2 linked regions of the Diceros bicornis minor genome follow. The protein of the gene in region 2 purifies or fractionates together with the protein of the main gene of each other region. This does not show direct contact. Links are inferred from orthologs where the notes say so. Each region holds a gene or a part of one and is shown on either strand. Other genes may lie near its edges.

Region 1 (10,995 bases), on a different chromosome or scaffold from region 2:
ATTTTACAAAATGCACATTGAAAATTTTCAAATCAACAGGATTCATAAATTCAAGAAATAACTATTTGCATTGCCTAATAATTCTCTGGGGAAAAAATTTAATCTTGGCAATGAGTTCATTTTTGGTTTATCAGTTCTGAGGAAGAGATGTGACTTTAATGAGTTAAGTCCTTACCCCTCAGATTAGCTGGGAAATGACATTGGTGGGATTGGTTTCATACAGTCACAGCTTATTGCAAGTGACCCAGCAACCTCTTTCTTCAGAGAAGGAGGGATGGAGGAGGCAAAATGCACAAGAGAAGATGACACCACACAACCTCAGCAGCCGGCACGTACAGGAAAGGAGGCTTCTAAAGTGTTGTAATCCCAGAACCAAATCCAAAGTAGAACTGACAAGTGTGCCCTTCCTTTAATGAATGAGTCAAGTTCCTCATCTATATAACTGGGTTAGTAATACCAGGCTTCATAGAACTAGTGAAGGCTGAATGATAAGGCTTTGAATGAAAATACTTTATAAAGTGTAAAATCCCATAAAAATGTCAGTTAATACTCAAGTGAGAGTGATCTAGCCCAGTGAATTCTTCCACCTTTGAGCTTCCTAAGCCCCAGGGGCTCAGCACCATCTGCACTGTTGCCCATGAAAGGCAAAGTCAACACACAGATCATCTGAGGCTGAGTTAGAGGAAAATCAAAAGCAGAGTACTTCTCAGCATCAGGAAAGTAAACTGGCAGAACTGAAAAGCCAGAGGTCCAGGATAGCCCTAATTTAAAATGGGAGCCAGTGGAAAAGTATCAGTGGAAAAATGGGATTTGATAAATAAAATACAACTTTATAGCCAACTTGACTGAACTCTTTCTTAAAAGTTTTTATATATCAATAATACAAATATTTGCCATTATGTTTAAATATTTATTGGTTGGCACTGGTAACACACAGCCTATCACCTTGCTTTTGGTTACAAAGAAAAGCAAATGGGAAGGAAGATCAGCATGGGCCTGTTATCACCACTAGAAAAGTGACGAGCACACCCTTCTCATGGATCAGGGTCAAGAAAGTCATCTTTGCACAATCAATAGCCACATATTTTTATTTATTTGTACCCTGGCTCATTCTAAAAAAAAAAAAAAAAAAAAAATTTAAATGGTGAATGGCCATTAATACTAAAAAAAATTAGCTTCATTTATTTGTATTATGTTTATTTATATACAATTTGTTCCACAAAGTATTTAGGAAATTGGATTTGATTTCTTAGTAAATTTTGCCATACTCTTACTAAAAGTCTTGTTATATATTTTATATACTAACGATAAATACAAACTGCACAGCACAATGCCTGGAACCACAGTAAGCAATCTGTAAAATGCAGTTATTACTCCCATTAGGCTATTAGGCTATGAGCTCTCTGAGGCAATGGACTGTCTTATTCTGTCTTGTTCAGCACTCCATCTCAAGAAACCCAGCCCGCTACCTGGTCCAGAGGTGGTATTCAATAAATACTGTTGAACAATTGAATACGATTTAAGAGTAATTCTCAACTCTCACCTATTTTATGGTTACCAGTGCCCCAAATCCTCTAATCAACAGCAAGGGTCTGGAAAAACCATACCCCAAAGGAAAGGCATTTAAGTTCCTGTTTATGTTTCCTTAAACTCACCACAAAGATGCCCCCCTTCTGTCCCAAAACCACAAAATCAATGCTTTGCAACAACACATTCTTTAACAATTCTGCTTCATTTCCCCTACAGACAATGCACAAAGTTCCTTAAAACTGCAAGACTTAGTTTAGTTCCCTTTACCCCTTAAAAAGGAAAGGCTTATTTGTAAAACCCTATCAATTCTCAAATTTCTAGTCTGATTCCTTGATCTTTGATTCAGTTGGTTATCACACAAGCTGCTACTTGCTTTTTTACTGTATACTTGGTACAAATTAAAATAATGAAAATAGGTTTAATATAAAAAAAATTTTTAAGTTACACATCAACATGTATCACACTTCAGGGCAAATTAGGAAACTGACATATTTCAGTGATGTTGCATTCCTTAAAATACTTTCAGATTCTTTTTTGGAACAGACTTTAGATCCAGTTCTACAAGTCATACAAGAAATTCTGTGTCACTGCTTTATAGTCACAACTCCTATCTGACATAAAACAGTATCACCAACCTGATTGCCTAATCTTTTTCACCAGACTTGAGCCCAAATTCTCTAAATTATTTGGATTCAATTTGATTTTGTTATTCCCTACAACAAAACTGCTCTCAAAGGATGAAGACAGTGAATAATAACACAGGCTCCAAAACGGATTCTAAGAAAAGTTCCAAAACAATGTTTTCTGCCACACCTGAAAAGTTGCTAATTGAAAGAACAACTTCAAATAACTACTCTGAATGGGATAACACTTACTTGTGTTTTCAATCCAAAATCAGTTACATTTGTTTACAGTCCATTGTCACAAAGTATCACAAAGTATCAGTTGTATCCTCCTCGCCAACATGCTATAGGTTACACTTTAAATCCCCTTAGCAGAAATACTACTAAGAAACAAACAAACAAACTCTGCCTCCCTGGCAAGACACACAGGAAACTTAACAAGTGGTTGTCTCTGAGGAAAGGAATAGCATGGTTGGAGAGCAGGAAAAGAAAAGACACTTTTCACTGAATATTCTTTTATACCTTTTGCATTTTATACAATGTGAATGTATCATCTATTTTTAAAAACCTGTTTAAGAAAATTACTTCCAAGGGTCAGATATTGCTGGCTTCTATAAGCTAGAAAAGAATAGTATAAAGAAATATGGAGTTCATTTTAAAGGCACTTCACTGTAAATCAGGACCTCCAGTTCCAGTGCAGAACTCTTCACACCAACAGTTAGGAAACCTTGCAAGCAGTTCTTGCAACCTTGCAAGCAAGTACACTAAACTCCTCATAGTTGAGCTATTCTGCCGTATCACTCCATTAAAATTTAAATTTCATTGGAAAGAAAAACTTGGTACTACAGATATTAATATGTCAATTCAAGAATGAAAACTGGAGGCAAACTAATAAGCTATTAAAGGAGCAATGATCCAAATATATCTCTGAAAATTAGCAAATCAATAACATACATATATATATAAAAATGCTGCAAATTCCCTTAAAATGCAAACTGCCATACTATAAAAATGGGAAAAAGATATCAAGCAGGGTACCATCAACAACATAACTCAAGCAGCTTGAACTAGAAAATGCAATATGATCTGTTGCTGGACGCAATTGCACAATCTCAATTACCCAGAAGATTCTACCAAACAGGAAATTCGTGATATGACTTTAAGAAACACAGGAATTCCATTTAAAGATTAACACGTCCAAAAGCCTGGAATTTGTTGTGAAACAAAAAGTAATTTTATAGGCCCTTTTTCAAACGACGCACGTACACGAATTACACGAATTAGTTTCAAAGCTCTCAAATTATAGTAAATCTAAAATACAGTGCATAAAACCTTGAAAGTCAGAGAAGTTAGTGAAATATTTCAGGTCGGGAAATCTTATGGTATCAATTTATTTTAAAACCCACAGTGTGAATTACAGGTGAAAAATGCCTCTTCCTTCCTTTCCTATATATTCTATATCCTTATTAAAACCATCGCGTACTCAGGCTATAAAGATAGATAAGTTCCCTGCAAACTCTCTAAGGGAGTCTAAAAACACAGTACTCACAAGAATTATCGCAATTAAAAAATATTTACAATACCTCCCAGCATTGTTAACAACTTTTTGATCTTGAGAGCGTCCAACGGATCTGAATCTCACTTGCTCAAATGAGAAAACTGTTGTGTCCAACAATACTGAAATGAGCGGTGGTCTGTGACTAATCAGCGAGGCCGCCAGTTTCTCGAGCGCAGCGTTCCTGCAGGCACCGCCACCCACCCCCCCTCTGCGGAAAGGAAATACGCTTTCAACCGAATCGGAAACACACCACTCAAGCTGGCACCGCGCTCCCCGAGATAAAGTCGGTATTTTAAGCTCTCTGGGTCGCTGCGAATTCAAAAAGAACGCTTCTGAAAATGGGATTTCGACAGAGGTCTGCAAAAGGGCCCGGAGAGAACGCCCTTCGTCGTCATTTTCGTTGGGATGACCGCAGTCTCCCGGTCGGGCTTTGCCCTTCTGCGTCTCCCGGCAGCTCCCGGGCTTGTCTGCGCAGAGGGCGGGCTCCGGCACCCGGAGTCCTCCGGGAGGGTCCTTGTGCTCGGCGCCAGCAGACACACCCCGCAGAGAGGCCCCCGCCGGCGCCTGTCCCCGGAGCAGCAACCCCCCAAGAGGGGAACGCACAGGGTGCGAGCCAGGGCCGAGCTCCAGCACCACCACCCACCGCGGATCCGCGTCCTGCACACGGTCGACCACCTACCCGGGCGTGCAGGGTGAGGGGTGCAAGGCGTACAGGGCGTGCAGGACAAGGGTCGAAGGGGTATCGATGGCCTCCCCCAAGGAAAATTCCTGCCGCTTGGTGCATCGCCGAGCCGTGGGAGCAGGCCTGGCTCTCGGACATGAGGGGCCACCCAGCCCACCGCGGCCCCAGCCCGGTGACACTCACCACACGGAGCCATAAGCGCCGGAGCCCACCGGGGACAGGTTCTGGTAACGCTCGGGCACCTCCCAAATTGTCTTGTTCAGCTCCTGCCGGTAGAACGTGGGCCTCTCCTGAGACATCTTCCAGCGGCGGCCGCGGGGCGAGGAGGTGGCCCAGCGGGGACCCGCCTGCGCCCGCACCCGCTCCCGGCCCTCGTCGCCCGCCCGGCCGGGCGGGGACCCCGCGCCGGCCGCACGCGCAGGTGCGGCTGCTGCGACCCCGCAGACTCCCGCGCGCGCGGCCGCTGTCACCGCAGCGCCTGGACGCGCCTCAGCCACAGGAGCGAGTCCTGCTAAGGGCAGAGGCGCGCTCCGGGGCTCAAGGCTGCGCCCGCCACGCTCTCCCTGCACCCTCTCCCCGACCAGGCCGACTCTGGCTGCGCCGCAGGACTACCGCTCCAGCTGCAGCGCCCGGGGAGGTTCCAGTGGTCGCCGTTCCAAAGCCAGCGAACAGGAGCCTCCCGCCGTACTCTCGCGAGAACAGCTCCCGGGACTCTCCGCGAGCCGAGATTTTACCCAATATGGAACCTGCCCATGGGAGGGGGTTGATGAGGGGAGAGGACGGGAGGAGCAGTTCTCGCGAGAAGAGAGCAACAGCTGGCAACCAGAGGGAGGAACTCCCAGAGACTGTTCTTAAAGGCGCGAAGGCGGACCCGGGAAAGAGGGGTGCCCCAGGCAACACATGCCGCGTGCGCCGCACAGTGGTCGGTGGGGCAAATGCCTGGCCCCGTGGTGGAAAGCGACAGTGACAAATAGGGTGTCGGGAAAAGAGCCAAACGATCTTTGAACTTTGGGTAGCCACCAGCAGCCGAGCGACTGCTCAGCGGAACCCTCAATTTCCAAGAAGTACTTGCACATAAAAGAGAAAGATTTTCGGCCCGAAAGCCGTTGCATTCCATCCGCTCAAGGACATATGGCTTAGTTCGAAGTTCTCACAAAAATCTGTCCCCAAAGCAAATATTAGCTCTGCATTAAGGCTGAGGTTTTCCACCCAAACTCTCCTAGTAGTTCTCAAGCTTTTATGTGCAGAAGAATCACCTTGGGGGTTTAAAAATGCAGATTCCCAGGACCCACAGGGAATCTAATTGGATAGGTCCCTGACGGGTACCAAGAATGAGCATTTTTACAATAGGCTCCAGGTAATTCTGATTCAGGAAAGTCTCTGGCATCTCCCTTTGAGAAGCGTTTTTAAAACCATTACCCTGAGGGTTTGAAACTGACTTCTGCCCTGAAGAGCTTCCAGTGACGAGGATTTTAAGCATTTGATTCATGCCTCTCAGAGGAAGAAGAACTGGGCAGAGAGTGGTCTTCTGGCAGTGTCACATTAGGCAAGTCAATTGACCTTTCTTAGACCTCACTTCCAGTTGATGCAAAAGAGAATTCCTGCCTTACACTCCCACCTAATAGGGTCATTTGTAAAGCTCAACAAGATAATAAATGTGAATGGGCAAGGTGTTATAACCCCATACCTACCCACACTGTTACCAACCTATTCCTATGCTGAAGCTTGTTGCAATAAGCAGAAGAATTGGACCCTATCTTAGTCTCTTAGTTATTTCCCTTAGAAATAACTAAGTCCAAGCCAGGACACTCCTTATCACTTCCCATGGTCATTCTCTTTTGTGTTATACATTCCTTGGAGTGCTTAGACTTTGCCTATCTTGTCCCAGCATCTAGCACAGTGTCTAGAACATAAAAGGTGTTCCATAAATATTTGCTGAACAAATTATGAACAATGACCATGATCTCAATTTAGGAGGTGATGCAGGATCCTCAGTTCTCCTCAAGGAAAAAATAAATAAAACTCCAAACCAGGGTCATAGGCGATTCGTGGAAAGCTTTTTTTTTTGGATTCCATGTGACTTACCCTGATTCTCATGCCTATGAAAACACGCTGCTTGAAAATGTTCCAAGCCAGCCTGCATGTTAGGGAGCTTTCTAAGAAGTAGTAGAAGCTGAAGGAGGAAGTGACAGCAAAAATGTGGCTGTAAAGACATGACGGGTGGGAGTGGGAATCAAGGTGTTGAGTGGATGGATGCAAGAGGGGAAACTTGCATGCAGAATCCTAAGAAATCCAGATATTTATCCAACAAGTTGGGATGATGAGGTGAGAGTGACCGAAAGGGTAAAGATGAAGTGAGCAGTACCTTCACTCACTCATTCGACAACTGTGTATTGAATGCCTACTAGGTACAGGCACTTCTGATGGAAAGGTGATTAAAAAACAGACACAGGAGCCGGCCCTCTGGCTTAGCGGTTAAGTGCACGCGGTCCGATGCTGGCGGCCCCGGCCGGAACCCGGGCGCGCACCGACGCACGGCTTCTCCAGCCACCCTGAGGCCGGGTCCCACATACAGCAACAAGAAGGATGTGCAGCTATGACATACAACTATCTACTGCGGCTTTGGGGGATACATAAATAAATAAATAAATAAAAATTTTTTTTAAATAAAAATAAAAAACAGACACAGTTGCTGTCTACATGGAGCTTACACTTAGCAGGGCAATCATTCAATCATTCAACACATTTATTGAGCACTTACTTATATCTACCACATTGTATTAGGCACTGGTGATACTGCAGTTAATGAAATAGATGAAAATACCTGCCCTTACGGAGTGAGACAGTTTACAAAAAGGAATAGGTAAGGTGAGTGATATGTTACTATTAATACAGTAATCAAGCAAGAGTAAAACTGCAACTGGGCAGGAATACAAGGGTAGTGCGAGACAGTGACAGGGCCTGAGCTTCGGGAGGAGGAGGTTGGAGGAGCCGGTGGAGGAGAGCGAGAGACCTGGGCAGGAGAGTGTCCTTCAGCGAGGGAAGCCAGGCTTGTGGGGCTAGGGTTGGAGACCTGGTGACCCTCTGGCTTCCGGTTTCCTCTTGCATCTTCTAACCTGACAGGTCGTCAGGAGATTTAAGTGAATTACTGTATGCATCCAGTAGGCCCTCAATCAAGAGTAGTCAAACCTCGAGGCAAGTGGAGGCCCGGGTGGCACAGGCAAGGGGCTCCCACGGTCCAGGTACCGGAGGGCAGTACCCCTCTCGCCGCTCCCCACCCCAGCTGCCCATGCTCCTCTTCTTCCGCCAGACTATTGTCCTCTCCCCTTGCTCCCCACACCCCCCCGCCCCCCAACGCCCCCGGGTTCGGCCGCAACGGCTCGGGAACCGCCGGCGTCCGCCTGGAGCGCCGCCAGCCTGCCGGAGCCGCGTCTGACCCCAGCGCCCGCACTCCCGCCCCAGCCGAGGAGCCAGGTGAGCCGCTGCCGGGGACGCCCGGGTGCCCGGGGCTGCAGGTTGTGGGCGTCCGGGTGCGAGGGACCAGCCCCTCGTTACAGCGGGCGGGGCTGCGTCCGTCACCGGCAGGGCCAGGCGCCTCGCGGGCGCTCAGTCAATATTTGTGGAATGAATGAATGACGGTCGTCCCTGGGAGCTTATCTCCCAGAGGTATTGTCTCTACTTTTGAAAGGCTGCATGGAATGGCAATAACAAGAGACAGTGCGTGCCTTTTGCAAGCTGAATTCTTTCCAACTCGTTCGTCTGAGTTGTCAGAAGCCCCAGAACTGATCTGCTGCCCAAGCGTCACCGGACCACCCCGCCCATCTCCTCCTGAGGCCTGACAGCCCAGACGCGCCTCGTACTTTCGGACTTCACTGCTCTTGTTCATTTTGTTCCTTCTGACTGAGGCCCCACTCCCACCCCACTGAGCCCCTTTCTCTTATCAAGGCCTATTTATGCGTCAGTGTGCCCCTGGGAAGTCTTCTCCAACATCCCCACCCCAAAAGTGAGTTTCTCTCCAACACACCCCACTGTTAATACTTCTCACCACGTGGCATCAAAGGTAGTTGTTTATGTGTCCGATGGTCAGCCGTCTGATGGTCAGCTGTCCAATGGTCAGCTCCTTGAGGGCTGCCATCTTTATTATTCATCCCCAGCCACTAGACAGAGTGACTTAAGGGTACTAAACGCAGTGCTCTTTGCTTGTGCCTTTTGTGTATTCCATGTACATTCCCCACAAAAACGTAGGTAGTAATGGGCAAAGGGCTGTTGTTTCTGGTGGAATTACAAATGCTTATTTTGAAATTTTGCAAGTGAATTTTACCGTCCCACAATTATAGAGAACATATGAAAGATGACGATATCAGGGGAGAGATATTCTTGCAACTAAACTAAGGTTCAGGATTTCACATCTATTGAATCAATAGTCAGAAAATTGGGTTGCATTTAAATTTTTTATTCTTGGCTTTTAAAATACTTTCAACACATTATGTAAATACATCAATGGATGGCTGGATAGATAGGGGTAGTATGGGAGATGAATGAGCTAGGTCAAAAGTGCCTTTATTTTAACAGTGCCCCCAAATTTAGCAATGAAAGACTGACTAGATGAAGATAATTGGCTACATTTCCAGTGGTCCTCATACTTTATTATGTATCAGAATCACCTGGAGGGCTTCTTAAACCAGACTACTGACCCATCCTGAGTTTCTAGTTAATTCTTACTAGGTGGGGCCTGACAATGTGCATTTCAACAAGTTCCCAGATGATGTGGATGCTATTTGTGTGAGGAAGAAGTATGGGCTACAGAGATTAAACTAATTTCTATTAGCTAGTAGTGAATCTAGAGGCCCAAAATTATGTCACATTTGTAGAATAAGAAAATGAAACCTTAAGTAGTTCAGATCCATGGTCCACCCACCTAAATATTTTGTCTGAAGCATCAGGGCAGGAAGCAGGAAGCATCAGGGAATTGTTTTCTAAGTGGACATTTATCTTGAAGATTATAGGTGGAACGTAGCTTACTGTTGATAACACTGCATGTGGAGGCCCCTGACACTGATGTCTTCAGGAGCCAGTCACAGAGACTCCCTCTTGTGTTGTCTCAGCTGAAAGAGCATTATCAGTGTAGCTGAGATCACTTTTTTCTGAAATGCCTCCCCTTCTCCACACCAAAGTGCCCCTGCTACTTGTCAGTAGGAGCTTCTGGTCTTCATACCTTGTCAGGAAGAGTTCTGCTGGTGCATGAAAACGAACCACTAGGGTTTCTATGAAATGAAGCAAGACAAATGGAGCTGGAGAAACTCCAGAGATGACTACTAACAAAACCAATAAGGAAATCCTGTGTTTCCCTTTGCTGCCTTTAGCCAGTCATGTGATGAGGCCTTTAAAGACAGCTTTCCACCTGCCCCTTCTAGCCCTGCTCACTGTGGTGCCACGAGTTACAACTTGATTACCTCTCCCCTAGACTACCATAATAGTAATGGTCTCCAATTGGTCTTTTTTGCCTCAGTCTCTCCTAGCTCCACTCTCCAATAGAACTTTCTGTGATGATGGAAATGTTTTACACCTGCGCTGTCCAGTACGGTAGCCCTTTGGCTCTTGAGCACTTGAAATGTAGCTAGGGCGACTGAGGAACTGAATTTTTTATTTTAATTAAGTTAAATTTAAATAGCCACTGGTAGCCAGTGGCTACTGTACTGGATAGCACAGCTCTAGACCATACCACTGACATGATTAATCTTCCCAAAGCATGTCTCTGTGCATATTACTACTCCTGCTCAAACAGTTAAAAAGTCCAGGTCCAACCCAGCATTCAAGACCTTCCAGGAATAGGCCTCAACCTACTTTTTTGGGCTTGACACTGACTTTACTCAGATATATTGTATTGCTTGCCTTCTATTATCTCTGTAATTTTATCCTACTCGTGAAATACTTTGTTCTCCTCCCTGATCCCAGTTTAGACAGAGTGAAACTCAAGTTATATCTCCCCTGGGAGGCCTTCCCTGTCCCTTTAGGTTGGGATTATTATTCCCACTCTGTAGGAGATCACATGGGATTTGAACGTGGCATCTATTTTGGAATCAGAAAGACTGGGTTGAGATTCTGGCTCTGCTATTTAATTGTTGTATGACTCTGAGGAACTCACTAAATGCATTAGTAAAATGAGTATAATCATTATCAGGAAAATAGCACCTATCTCATGAAATGATGTGTGTGGAGAACCTGGCATATGGCTGGGCAGCAATAAATGTTAATTCCTGTCTTTCCCACCTCCAAACTCTTACAGCAGTATATTTTGAGGTTTTTTTTTTTTGTACCAAAGTGTGGAGTCTTTGTTCTTTTATATCCCCAGAGCACCTAGCATTCAGCAAATATTTGTGGAACACTAACTTAACTGACCACAGGTGAGATAGCATTCTTCAGTCAGAAACAAATGAAGGCCGAGAATGCATATGGTAGAAATTTATAAAACTGTGAAAATAAAAGCAGACAAACTTACCAAATCCTATTCTAGTAGATGGGGGCCACCTCTTGAAACATAAACGATGTAGAATGAAGACAATAAAATGAAATACTACTTTCCTTAACTGAACTAATGGGAT
Region 2 (11,371 bases):
CCGGCTCTGGGGCTGCCCAGCTCAAAAAGAGGCTGGTTGGCCTCCCCTCTCTGCTGACGTTCATTTTCAGAGGTGGTCCTGGGGCAAAGGGGGAGCATTCAGAGTCTCCCCATGCCTCTTCTGCCCTAAAGAAGTAGGTGAGGCAAAGGGGCAGAGCAGAGGCAGAGTCTGCGCGGAGAAGTTGCCCCTGGACACCCCCCTCCCTCCCAGACCCCCTCCCTCCCTCCCTCCTAGCCCCTCACCCTCCCTCCCAGACCCCCTCCTCCCTCCTGTACCCCCCTCGCTCCCAGACCCCCTCCCCTCTGAAGACACCTACCTCCACTCTCCCCGGCTGGGCTCCCTTCCAGGGAGTGGCACACATCTTCCCATAGGAAGGAGAGGGGAGGAGATGGGCAGAGGCCTCTAGGGTCCAGGCCCATATGAAAGCCAGTGGGGACAGGGTGGGATCAGGGGGAAGCTGTCCTGTTGTCCAAGACTGCCCGAGACACGGCCAAAGGGGCGTCGCGGGCGGGCACACCCAAGAGGTGGGAGGCGGCCGGCGCCAGGAGCAGACTGTTCTTGCTGCCATCCTGCCTGCTGGCAGGTGGGAAGGGGGAGCCTCTGTCTTGCCTAATGCAGACCAGCTGTGCAGCCCCAAGAGAGGTGGGAGGCCTGAATTGGCCCTGGAGAGCAGGGACCCCACCCTCCCGTCCCCAATGCCCACCTTACCTTAGCCAAGAAGCCCTGGAGCCAGAGGAGGGCAGGGAACAGGACTGGGGGCCTCATCCTGATGCCTTCAAAGGAAAGTTGGGAGGCAGCGGGGGAGGAGCCACTCCCCCCAACCTTCCCCTTGCCCCGCTGGCTGGCTGGCTGGCAAGGGAGGGAAAATCAGATTTTAGGCGGATGGCAGGTGGTGAGAGCAAGCAGCTACCTCTGAACCCCAGACCCTGACCCCCACCCCACCCAGCCTGGGCCAGGCTCTGCACGGCAAGAGAGCCTGGACTGGCTCAGGACCCAGAATGTGGAAAGGGATTTCAACTCTCAGGCTCAGACAAGCCTACCCTACCTCTGCCTCCCCCACCTCCCCCTTACTCCCAGCAGCTGGCTTTCCAGGGAGGAAGATGCCCTGCACACTTCAGAAAGACCAAGAGGAGGAATGGCCTTGCAAGTGGACACACATGGCAGAGGTAGCTGGCTCTGCACTCCTGGACCCCGGAAGGGGACTGTGATTGGACTCTACCAGCATGTGGGCAACGGATGGGGTGTTTGCGTTCCTGAGGGAGAGGGTGCCAGGGAACTCGGTGACCTCGCGTGCTGTGTGTTGCTGTGAGCTGGGCAGACGGAGCAGCTCTGAGCGTGTGGCCCCTTCTGTGTATCCATGTGACCCCATGCTCTTGTGGACAGAGGCACAGGCGCACACCCTAAAGGCCTTGATCTGGTGAGTGTAGATCTGGCAGAGCCCACTTGGCCCTTGGCACCCATCTGGTCCCACGCCCTCACCGCCCAGATGAGGAGGCTGATACCCAGAGAAGGGAGAGCCCAGCCCAGGACTCCACACGTGTGAGGAGATGAGCTGGACTTGAACCTGGGACTTCCGGCTCCACTGAGCAGACGTGGCAAACCCTGCTCTGAACCCCCAAATTGGTGGCCTCTCAGCTCGGAAGGCTCTGAGGAGCCACTCACGTCCCTAGGACCTATGCTTGCCTTCCCACCTCCTCTCCTCGCTCAGAGGTGCCCACCCTGTCCCCCTGTCCCCCTAGCTCCCACCTGGCAGCAGGCACCACAAAGCCTGGGGAAGCCTACCTGGGGCCTGGCCTAGAGGATGGGGAGCTTGAGGCTTCACCCCAGCCTAGAGCCAGCTCCTCACCTCCAGCTGCTCGCTATGTGCCCCCCAAGACAGCTGACATGGGGCAGGGGGCAGGGGAAAGAGAGCGGAAGAAGGAAGGCTCTGGGCCCTGGGAAAGAAGTCGGGGACTGAGACACTAACTCAGGAAGTGGGGAGGGGAAATTTGCAGCAAAACAGGCAGGTGGAGAAACTCTGAACCCCGAGACAGCTTCTGTGGGAGCCAGGCTCTCAGGCCAGCCCTGTGGGGAGGACAGGCTGCATGGACACAAGCTCAGGCCAGAGCTAGGGCCCGCCTGCCACGCCCCCGCTCCACCCAGCCCCAAACCTCAGAGCCACCCACCTGGTCCCTGGATGGGGGCCTGGAAACTCAGCCCTGCAGACTCATCAGATTTTCCAGGCCGTGCGTGTGTGCGTGTGTGTGTGTGTGTGTGTGTGCATGCATGTGCTCTTTCAAAAGAAGTGGGGGGAGAGCAATTAGGAAAACCAATGTGAGAGGGAAGAGGTCCCAGTCTGGCCAAGGGCGGCCCCCCATCCTGCCTCACCTTGGGGCACCTCACTGTGCTCTTTCTGGCAGCGTCGCCATCAGCAGCGGCAAACGTGGGGGGTGGGGGGTACCATCCTAACTCAGATTCTAGGAGAAGAGATGCAGCAAGACATGGTTGCAGATAAGGGGGGCTCAGACCCTTCCCAAGAATCCCCACAAAGAGGGACCCATTGGGAACCACACAGACGCTATAGCTCATCCTGTGGACAGAGCCTGGAGAAGGCACCTGGCCAGAGAAGGCCCACCTGCCGGCCCCCCAGCCAGCCTGGGGCTGCCTTGGGGATGGGAGGGAGGCTCTGGAGGGTGCAGAGAGGCCTGACAGAAGCGGCAGCCTCCCCAGCCCAAGGCTCTCCATTCAGCAAAATACCTACCACGAGGCTGTCTCCTCCCCAGCAACCACTGGCACAGACAAACCCACATCCTCTCCCTGGAGAACCCCAGGTCCTCCCGAGGTCTCGGAGCACCTACTGATTCTTTCTGGAGAGTGCCGGCCCAGAGGCAGATGAGGGCAGGGGACAGGTCCAGGCGTCCTGCTCCCAAATGTGCGCCAGCCTGGGCTCTCCCCGCAGCTAGCCTAGGCCCCTGCCGTCATCTCTCGGGACCCCCATGCTGGGGAAGGTAACAGCCAGGCGGGAGGGGTGGGGTGGTGCAGACAGCCCAGTCTTCCATTTGTCCTCCCACTCCCTGGGGAAGGTCCCCGGAAGGGGAGGCCCAGGGCCTGCTGACCAGGCCGCGGGAAGGCAGCAAGGCCCGCGAGAGGCTGTGCACGGTTATGCCAGCAGCCTGGGCGTGTGTGTGCGAGTGCACAGTGAGCCGCGAGGGTGCATGCACCTGTCTGGATGGAGGTGCACGCATGGGCGTCCAGGGACGTCACGGAGGGACCAGGGGGAGAGGAGGGCCCTGGAAAGGAAGGGCTGTGTTGGGGAACAGATGTCCATTTCCTCAGCTCTGGACTGGGGAGAGAGGGAGGGACTCTCTGCTGTCCTAAAGTCCTCCTACGAGGGACCTGAGGCCCAGCCACCTGGCAGAAAATGGGGCTCTTCCCTGGAACTGCCCTGGTGTTGGGCTGGCCTGAGTCGCTGGTCCTTCAGCCGGGAGGGGAGGGGATGGAAACTCCCCTCACCAGCAGGCACCCAGAAGGAGTCGTGGAAACTGGGTCCGGAGGGGGCTGGGCACCTGGGATGGCTGCACAGAGGCAGGGCCCCAGGACACGCCCAGGGGATCTCCCTGCTCCTTCACACCTCACACCCGCTGGCCCAGACCCCCTCCCACATTCCTAACAGCACTTCTCTGCCCCACTCACAGCGAGGCTCCTCCGGTGTCCCCTGCTTCCTCTTGGATGAGGCCTCTGGATCCCGTCTCTCTGTGTCTCTGTCTCCATCACACAGCCAGGGACCAATTGGGGCCCGTAACTTTGGGGCCAAAGCTGGCCTGGGCTGGCCCAGGATTTGGGGGGTGTGGGAGGACCTGGGAGCCTAGGGCATCTCCGGAGAGGAACCAGGAGGGCCAGGGAGGGGGCAGAACATGTAGAGCGCACAGGACCCAGGAGTCCTGGCCTCAGCAGCTGGCCCAGTCCCCAAGATCCCCCCTCTGGGATTCTATAGGGTGGCAGCCTTTGACTCTGGGGGCTGGCAGCAGCCTGGCCTCTCCCTGGTGCTGCAAGGGAACAAGAACCCCCAGGAACTCCGGATCTACCTGCCCCTCTGAGGGGCTTCTGACACTGCGGACGGTGGGGTTGTGGCTCGCAGCCCTGGGACTGCGGAGTGACTGAGGGAGGGAGGCAGTGGGCCCAGGCAGCCCTCCCTGAATGCAAGCTGGAGGGAGTGGGCAGTGAGGAGGGGGGTCTGCAGAGAGATAAGACTCACAGACTCAGACGCTGCCCCGCCCCCCACAGTGTCTCCCCCAGCTGACGGCTCCTGAGCACCAGTGGGGGCAAGCACTTCACAGACCTCAGACCACTTGATGTCACTCCCTGCGAAGGGAGGACTGATGAGGAGACAGCCTCAGGGAGGTTCCGACGCTTCCCCAAGGTCACACAGCAAATAAGCTACAGTGCAGACCCGCGGCCCCCAGGGCCTCTCAGCTTTCAACTATTGCTGTACTTTCTCTGGAGTTGAGGGTGCTGGGACCTAAGTCCCAACCCTGGAAGGCAGATCAGCATCGGAGTGAGCAGGGTTTGGGAGCTGTCTGGGCAGTTCCACACCGGGAACAGGGAAGCTTCCGGAGAGGAGTCACTCCAGGGACGCCCACGCCCCACCCCCACCCCCAGCAGCCTGGACAGAACGAGTCCACCCCAGAGAGGGCAGAGGGGTGTCCCAGGCCCCCGGCCAGGCTGGGAGGGCTGCTGCAGGGTGACGACACGTGTCTTGTCCTGCCTGAGGCTTGTGGGCGGTGCCTCACCCCTCCCACGCTCTGGTCACACACCTCTGCGGATGTCCAGCGTTTCTCAACGGAGGGGGGAGAGGAAGTGGGCAGGAGGCAAGGAATGGCTATTCCCCCTCCCCAGATACACCCAAGGGAACTGAGAGCTCCTCAGAGTCTTGCCTGATGACCCACCAAGACCCCCATCCCCAACCACCTTCCCCTTCTCCCTCCTCCAGCTTCCTTGCTTTCCACCCCAGAGCCCAGCTTCCAGCTCCTCAACCCACTGCCGGGCCGGCCTGCTGAGGGCAGGGGTGTGCTCTCAGCCAACGGGCTCAGGCCAGGGAAACCTGCGGGCCCTGGAGGGCCAGTGGGGCAAGGGCTTTGCCCACTTCCTCCACCCCACCCCGTGGTATCCTGGCTTCCTGTACTTGATAACCATCAGCAGCTTGGCCCAGAGGGAGTGGCCCTCTTTCCAATCCCCTCCTGCCCCCTCTTTGATCCCCAGGGCCCCCACTATCCACCAGTGGAAACAGTGGTGGGTTTGGGGGTGGTTGAGGCCGAGGCCAGCCTCAGGTCACTTCCCACAGGTACAGCAGGCATTCCCAGGCTCCTGGCCCCTCCTCCCTGTCCCGGGCACCGGAGCCAGCTACTGCCCAGCTCTGCTCGGCCTCCTCTCAGGGAAGCCACCAACCCCCAGCGGAGCAGGAGCTCGGGGCTCGGAAAGGGGCCAGTCCCAGACCCACTGCCGGAGCGCCGAAGATCATCCTGCTCTTCCTCTCAGCCCTCCTCCCCCACAGGCCAGAGGAAGGCCAGCCCCTCCCCACCACCCCCTGCGTGCCCACCCGTGTGCCTATTGTACATCATTCCTTCTTTGCTGTCACTGTCTGACGGCTGAATCAGAGAAGTGGGAGGAAGAGAGAGGACGGGGATCGTGCGTGTCGGGGGCCAGGAGGAAGGAACGTTACAAGGTGGAAGGAGATGAGCAGTGAGCATGAACCAGCCAGGCTGCTGGCCAGCAAAGGGGCTGCCGAGGCCAGGCGGGGGTGGGCAGTGGAGTCTTGGACGTGGGGCCACTCCCCAGGCCCCAGGCGTCCAGGCGCCCGGGGGCGAAGAAGACATGGGAGAGCCCTGGAGTGAGGGTCAGAGACCGTCCACTATCTGTAAGTCTTCTGAGTAGAGGTCGGGGTTCTGGCAGGAGGCATGGAAGGGGCTGGGGGCCAGGGGAAGCCCCCCAGACTCTCCTACAAGCCATCTCTGCCACCTGCTGCCCGGCAGGCTGGCCATGTCAGACAGAGGCAGCTGAGCAGGTGTGGGGTTCAGGGCCCCGGATGACCCTTCCGGCCCGGCCTGGGCCTTGCCTTCCCACGTGGAGCTAGGACTCCCACCTCCCATCCTCCCCACCCCGACCCAAGTCTGCAGCTCCTCTGCTCTGGGAAGATGCAGCCGTGCTGACCGTGAATTCCCACAGCTTGAAGGGCAAGGGTTCCGGAGCAGAAGCAGAGAAGTGGGAACTAGTCTCTGGCCCAGTTCAGCTGGAACAAGAGCAACCTGGGCTCTCTGTGGGACAGCATGGAGCTGGGGGTCTGCCGAGCTCTGCCCAGCATGCAGGCAGGGGCTGGAGGTGACAGAGACCCCGAGGCACACTGCAGAAGGAGGAGAGTTTGGCAGCTGGGGCACCGGCGTGGTCCACCTCACCTAGTCCCAGGGAGAAGGCCTGGGCCCATGACAAACATGCTGGGACATGGCCAGCCCGCCCCCGAGGGGCACAGGCAGGAGGCACCCGACCCCTGGCGGCGGCGGCAGGCGCAGGAGGGCAGCGTGCAGCTGGGGTGTGCGTGGGTGGCAGCGAGGAGGGGCGGAGGGAGGAAGCTGGCTTCCTGAAGCCTCCTCAGCCCTCAAAGACAGACCGACAGACAGACAGACAGCTGGCAAGAAGCAGCCCGGGGGACACAGCTGCTTCAGTAAGTACCTGAATGGGGTGGGGGGAGTCCCGTGGCCCTGGGGTGGTGTGAACCCTAGGGGGACGGGAGGGCATCTTGGAGGAGAGTGTGAGAGAGGGTGCGTTGGGTGCCACAGTGCTGGGGAAGGGGTGCTGACCTGGCTGACGTCCCCGAGGGGGCGGGTGGGGAGCCACAGGGACCTGCAGCGAGAGCAGAGGCTGAGGAGCCCCTCCTGCTGCTGGGGGGAGCCTCCCTCCACCACCGCCTCTGCACGGCCCACGCTGTCCCTTCACCTCCGTCCCTGCGGGCTTAGCTACTAACGCCCCCTCCACCTCGGAAGCTGTGACCCTGGAGATGGGGACCGTCCCCCAGGAGGAGGTGGCCCTACCACCTCCATGCCCCCTCGCGTGCCCCCAGCTGTCGCCTCACCATGCGCTGTCGCTCAAGGCCTTGGTGAGGCCATTTCCTGTGACGGTTGCAGAGGCGGGAGATGGGGGGGATGGGCAGAGGAGGAAGGAAACACCCCCGGCCTCCCTCCCTGGACAGAGACCCCAGACACCAGGATGAACCTGGGAGTGGAAGGACCAGTGAGTAGGAGCGGGTCCTGCTAGGGGCCAGCAGCCCGCAGGCCAACTGGCCCACCCAGTCCCAATGCTGCAAGAGGCCTCAAATTTCCCGTTCAGAGAAGGCCCGCTGGCTAGACTTAGAGGTGGCTTCTGTGAGCCTCTCTCCAGTCGACACGGAGCACATGGGCTGTGTGTCCTCCAGGGACACACTTTGGGCTCTGACAACGTCTTCTCCCCTTTCTGCCTCCTTCTGGATTCCTTCCTATCTTCACCCCCAATCTCAACCCCTTGCTCTAACCCCATACTGCCCACTCCCCTGGGTCCCCTGAAGAGACCTTGGCCTTCCCACAGTGAGAACGACAAAACTGCCTGGGGAACAGAAGACACTCCCAGTGAAAATAGGTGCCAGGGGGCAGAAGGTCTGCTGGGCCTGGGAGCCTCCCTCTGGCCGGTCAGGCAGGCCCGAGGTCCGCAGCTGAAAGGCCCTGTCTTCCAGGAGAACCCCATGGCTGAGTGAGCCTCCCCTGCGCCCAGCTCCCACCCCAGCATGGTCCAGGCCCGTGGGGGGCGCTCCAGAGCACAGTCACTGACCTTGTCTTTGGGGGCAGCCATGACCCAGCCTCCGCCCACCAAGGCACCGGCCAAGAAGCATGTGCGGCTGCAGGAGAGGTGAGATCTGTCTTGGGAGGGAGGCCTCCCCAGCCCTGAGCCCCGTCTGCCCCTCCAGCTCCAACAGCTGAGTCCAGAGGGCCCTCGGCTGTTGACTCCAACCTGGAAAGGAGACCAGATGTGTTCGCTTGCACATCATGTACATGCCCTTTACTTGTCTGGGGCATGAATTCTCACATCCACCAGGCTGGGCTGAGCAGCACCAGAGCGGGGCTGTCTTGAGTCTGGATGTGGGTCTAGGCTTTAGGGCCGGGGCAGGAATGGGCAGAGGTGGGCAGATGGAGGGAGCGGCTGGGTTCCAGGCTGCCCTGTTCTGGCTGAGGAGGAAGACAGGCAACAGGGGCCGGAATCCTTCACTCCACGGGGCCTCTGGGTCAAGGGGAAGACAAGGAGCAGCCTCCTCAGACAGGACCCATAACAATAACAACTGTAGGAGGAGCTCATGTGCTCGGTGCTCACTGGCCCCGGTCCTGTGCTTGCAGGCGGGGCTCCAATGTGGCTCTAATGCTGGACGTGCGGTCCTTGGGGGCTGTGGAGCCCATCTGCTCAGTGAACACACCCCGGGAGGTGACCCTACACTTTCTGCGCACAGCCGGACACCCTCTCACACGCTGGGCCCTGCAGCACCAGCCACCCAGCCCCAAGCAGCTAGAAGAGGAATTCTTGGTAAGAACTCAGGGACCCCACCCCAGGTCCCTCTGCCTTCTGAGTCAGAGGCAGCCAGCTGGCACTATTCTGTCCTGGGCATGGCAGGCATGTCTCCTCTTTGGGCCCTTAGGAAAGAGGACCCCAAGGCTCATGGGAGGAGACCGCTCCTGCTCCCTCTTCTGCCCTCCACCCCATCCAGACCTACATACAACGCCAGGAGGGAATGGCTGGCCCAGCTCTGCTATATGAGAGGGGAAGGGGAGACAAGGCTGGGGAGGGGTGTCAGCTGTTCACTGTTTCCTCTGCCAGAAGATCCCCTCAAACTTTGTCAGCCCTGAAGACCTGGATATTCCCGGCCACGCCTCCAAGGACAGATACAAGACCATCTTGCCAAGTAAGCACTGCGGCCGGGACCCAGGGAGGCCGCGCTGTCCCTAGGGCTGGAGAGGTTCAGAAGGCAAGGCACACAGCCTCCACCAGGGATGAGCCACCTGACCTTCAGTGTCTTCTTCCCACAAAGAAATTCCAAAATCACGCCCTGGCTGGGGGAGGGGCAATAACCATACCCCAGTGAGAAGACAGCCACTCATATTTCAGATGCTTCCCGTGGGCCAGGCACTGCTCAGAGTCCCTTAGGGTAACTCATTTCTCACAATGACCCCACAAAGTTGGTATTATGGTATGATTATCCCCAATTTACAAACAAGGCAACTGAGTCTCAGAGAAGTTGCATAAGTTGCCCGAGGTCACACAGCTAGTTGCACCAAACCTTCCTCCTCCTCTTCCTCCCTGTGGCAAATGCCCAGCAAGGGTTTGCAGAGGAAGAGGCACCATCAGGATGGCTCCCTGAGAGAAGACTTTGGGAAACTCCATGGAGGCAGAGCAGGGATTGCAAGAGAGCAGTGACAGGCTGGAGATGGGATCACAGAGTGGAAGGGTTGACCCTGCAAGCTCGACAGACCTGGGGAGCAGCACCTCCTGTGGGTCAGAGGCGGGCTGAGGGCCCTGGGGACTCTCCTTCTCTCCCCTCCTCTCCCTGCACAGCAGCCTCACCTGGGCACCCACCTCCAGCCTGAGGCCTCGGCTCCCTGCTCCTGCCGCATTCCAGTGCCCAGGTCCCAGCCCTCTGCCTGCACGAGGGTCAAAGGTTGTCAGCACTCACCCAAGTGGAGGCAGAGGGAGCAGCCTTGCTCTTGGCCTAACTGGAACCAGCTTGAAGCCAGAGTGGGGGAGGTCCTGTGCCTGAGGCTCCCCGGCACCCTGGGTACCTCTGTCCAGAGCCAGCCGGCTGGGAGAGCGAGTCCCCTCTCCTCTCTTCTCCTCACAAGCCAGCTTCTTCACCCTGCTTGGACTGGGTCTGGGGAAGCCCTCCCCCGCAGCGGGAGGTGGTGAGGGGAAACTCGGGCTCTAGGGCTACTTCTCCGCTGTGACTTTAGACAAATCATCTGAATCCCGCATTCACCGTCAGAAAAACTTCTCCCTCCACAACATCTCTTTCTCCATTCCTATGGGCACAATCCTATTCTCCACCCTTACTGGTCTCAAGGCTGGACCGTTGCCGTAACATCCCGTTAGGTCTCTGCTTCTCCGTCCCGTTCCTCGCTGGTCCACCCTAGACAGCACCCCCACTTTACCTTCCCAAGTCACGCCACTTAGATCATGCCACTCTACTGCTCAAAAGCATTCTGTGGCTCCTATCGTCTGTGAAACCACCCGTTGGGTACCGGGCAACTGGCTGTACCTCAGGGGCTATGACAAGCGCAGAAGCCCTGCTCCTCCTGGCCCTGTCGGAGTCGCAATGGTCACCTTTTGGCCTCTGATTTCCACTGATTTTTATCTCCTAGATCCCCAGAGCCGTGTCTGTCTAGGCCGGGCACAGAGCCAGGAGGACGGAGACTACATCAACGCCAACTACATCCGGGTGAGTGACCCAGCCCCGGCTGGGGCAAGGAATGGGGGACCGAGAGAACAGAGCAAACGTTAAACAACGCCGAAAAGGAGAGACCACCCAGTCTCCTTACCCCAGCCTGCCCATCCTATAAAGGAGGAGGAAGGAGCCATTGTTGAACCCTATCGCCAGCCTCTCGAGGGCTAATCGCTCCCGAGCTCTGCGTGGCAGGTACCAGCACCCACAGGAGCTCTCAGCTGTCCCCCTTCCTGCCTCTTTGGCCTTAACTGGACCCCAAGCAGCCCCTTTTTGTGGAGATGGTTTAACAGCAAGCTGTAGGAACTGGGAAGCAGCTTCACCCACCTCCAACATCCAACAGCCCCAAATAGATGTAAAGCAGCGCTCTCTAGTGGCTCAAAGTGGGCAGGACAGCGGGCAGAGGTGAAAAGCCACTTGCCAGGGACACCATGGGGAATGTGACCTCCCGTTGGCGGCAGAAACCCAGTGGACAGGTGCTCCTCCATCATCTTGAGGAGCAGGAAGTTGAGGATTCTGAAGGGGAGAGTGAAGGGCTGGCGAGGGTGTGCTGCATCTTGCTACTAAATATATAAAAGTAATATGTAAAAGTGAAACATTCATTCAACAGATACACTGTTTTCTCATTTACACTGTTTTCTCATTTTGTGCAAGTAGAAAGCAGGGGAGGAAAGGGAGACAGGGCACAGAGGACCTGATCCATGCTAGACTCAATATACTTTGTTAAATTTAATCTGCGCTACGTTCATGCAAGATAAATATTATGCTTAGTTTACGGATGAGAACACTGAGGCTATGGAGCTAGAGAAGCTGCTTATGGTGGCACAGCTGGTGAGCAGAAGAACGGGGATTTGAACTCAGATGTTCCTCACTCCAGAACCTGTGTCCTTT

The links.
Region 1: the proteins of PTPN7 (region 2) and MAPK14 purify together in Homo sapiens (affinity purification with mass spectrometry; 3 studies listed by BioGRID and IntAct, with this or other methods). This does not show direct contact. The link is inferred for Diceros bicornis minor from reciprocal best matches to the Homo sapiens genes PTPN7 and MAPK14.

What each region holds. Positions count from the first base shown.
Region 1 is NC_080753.1:28,811,086-28,822,080, forward strand, and holds the start of MAPK14 (mitogen-activated protein kinase 14), read right to left. Parts: upstream 5,064-10,995; 5' UTR 4,693-5,063; coding exon 4,577-4,692; intron 1-4,576. UniProt on the Homo sapiens protein: Serine/threonine kinase which acts as an essential component of the MAP kinase signal transduction pathway.
Region 2 is NC_080777.1:30,263,749-30,275,119, reverse strand, and holds the start of PTPN7 (tyrosine-protein phosphatase non-receptor type 7), read left to right. Parts: upstream 1-6,582; 5' UTR 6,583-6,694; intron 6,695-7,735; 5' UTR 7,736-7,786; coding exon 7,787-7,908; intron 7,909-8,390; coding exon 8,391-8,574; intron 8,575-8,865; coding exon 8,866-8,950; intron 8,951-10,400; coding exon 10,401-10,477; intron 10,478-11,371. UniProt on the Homo sapiens protein: Protein phosphatase that acts preferentially on tyrosine-phosphorylated MAPK1. Plays a role in the regulation of T and B-lymphocyte development and signal transduction.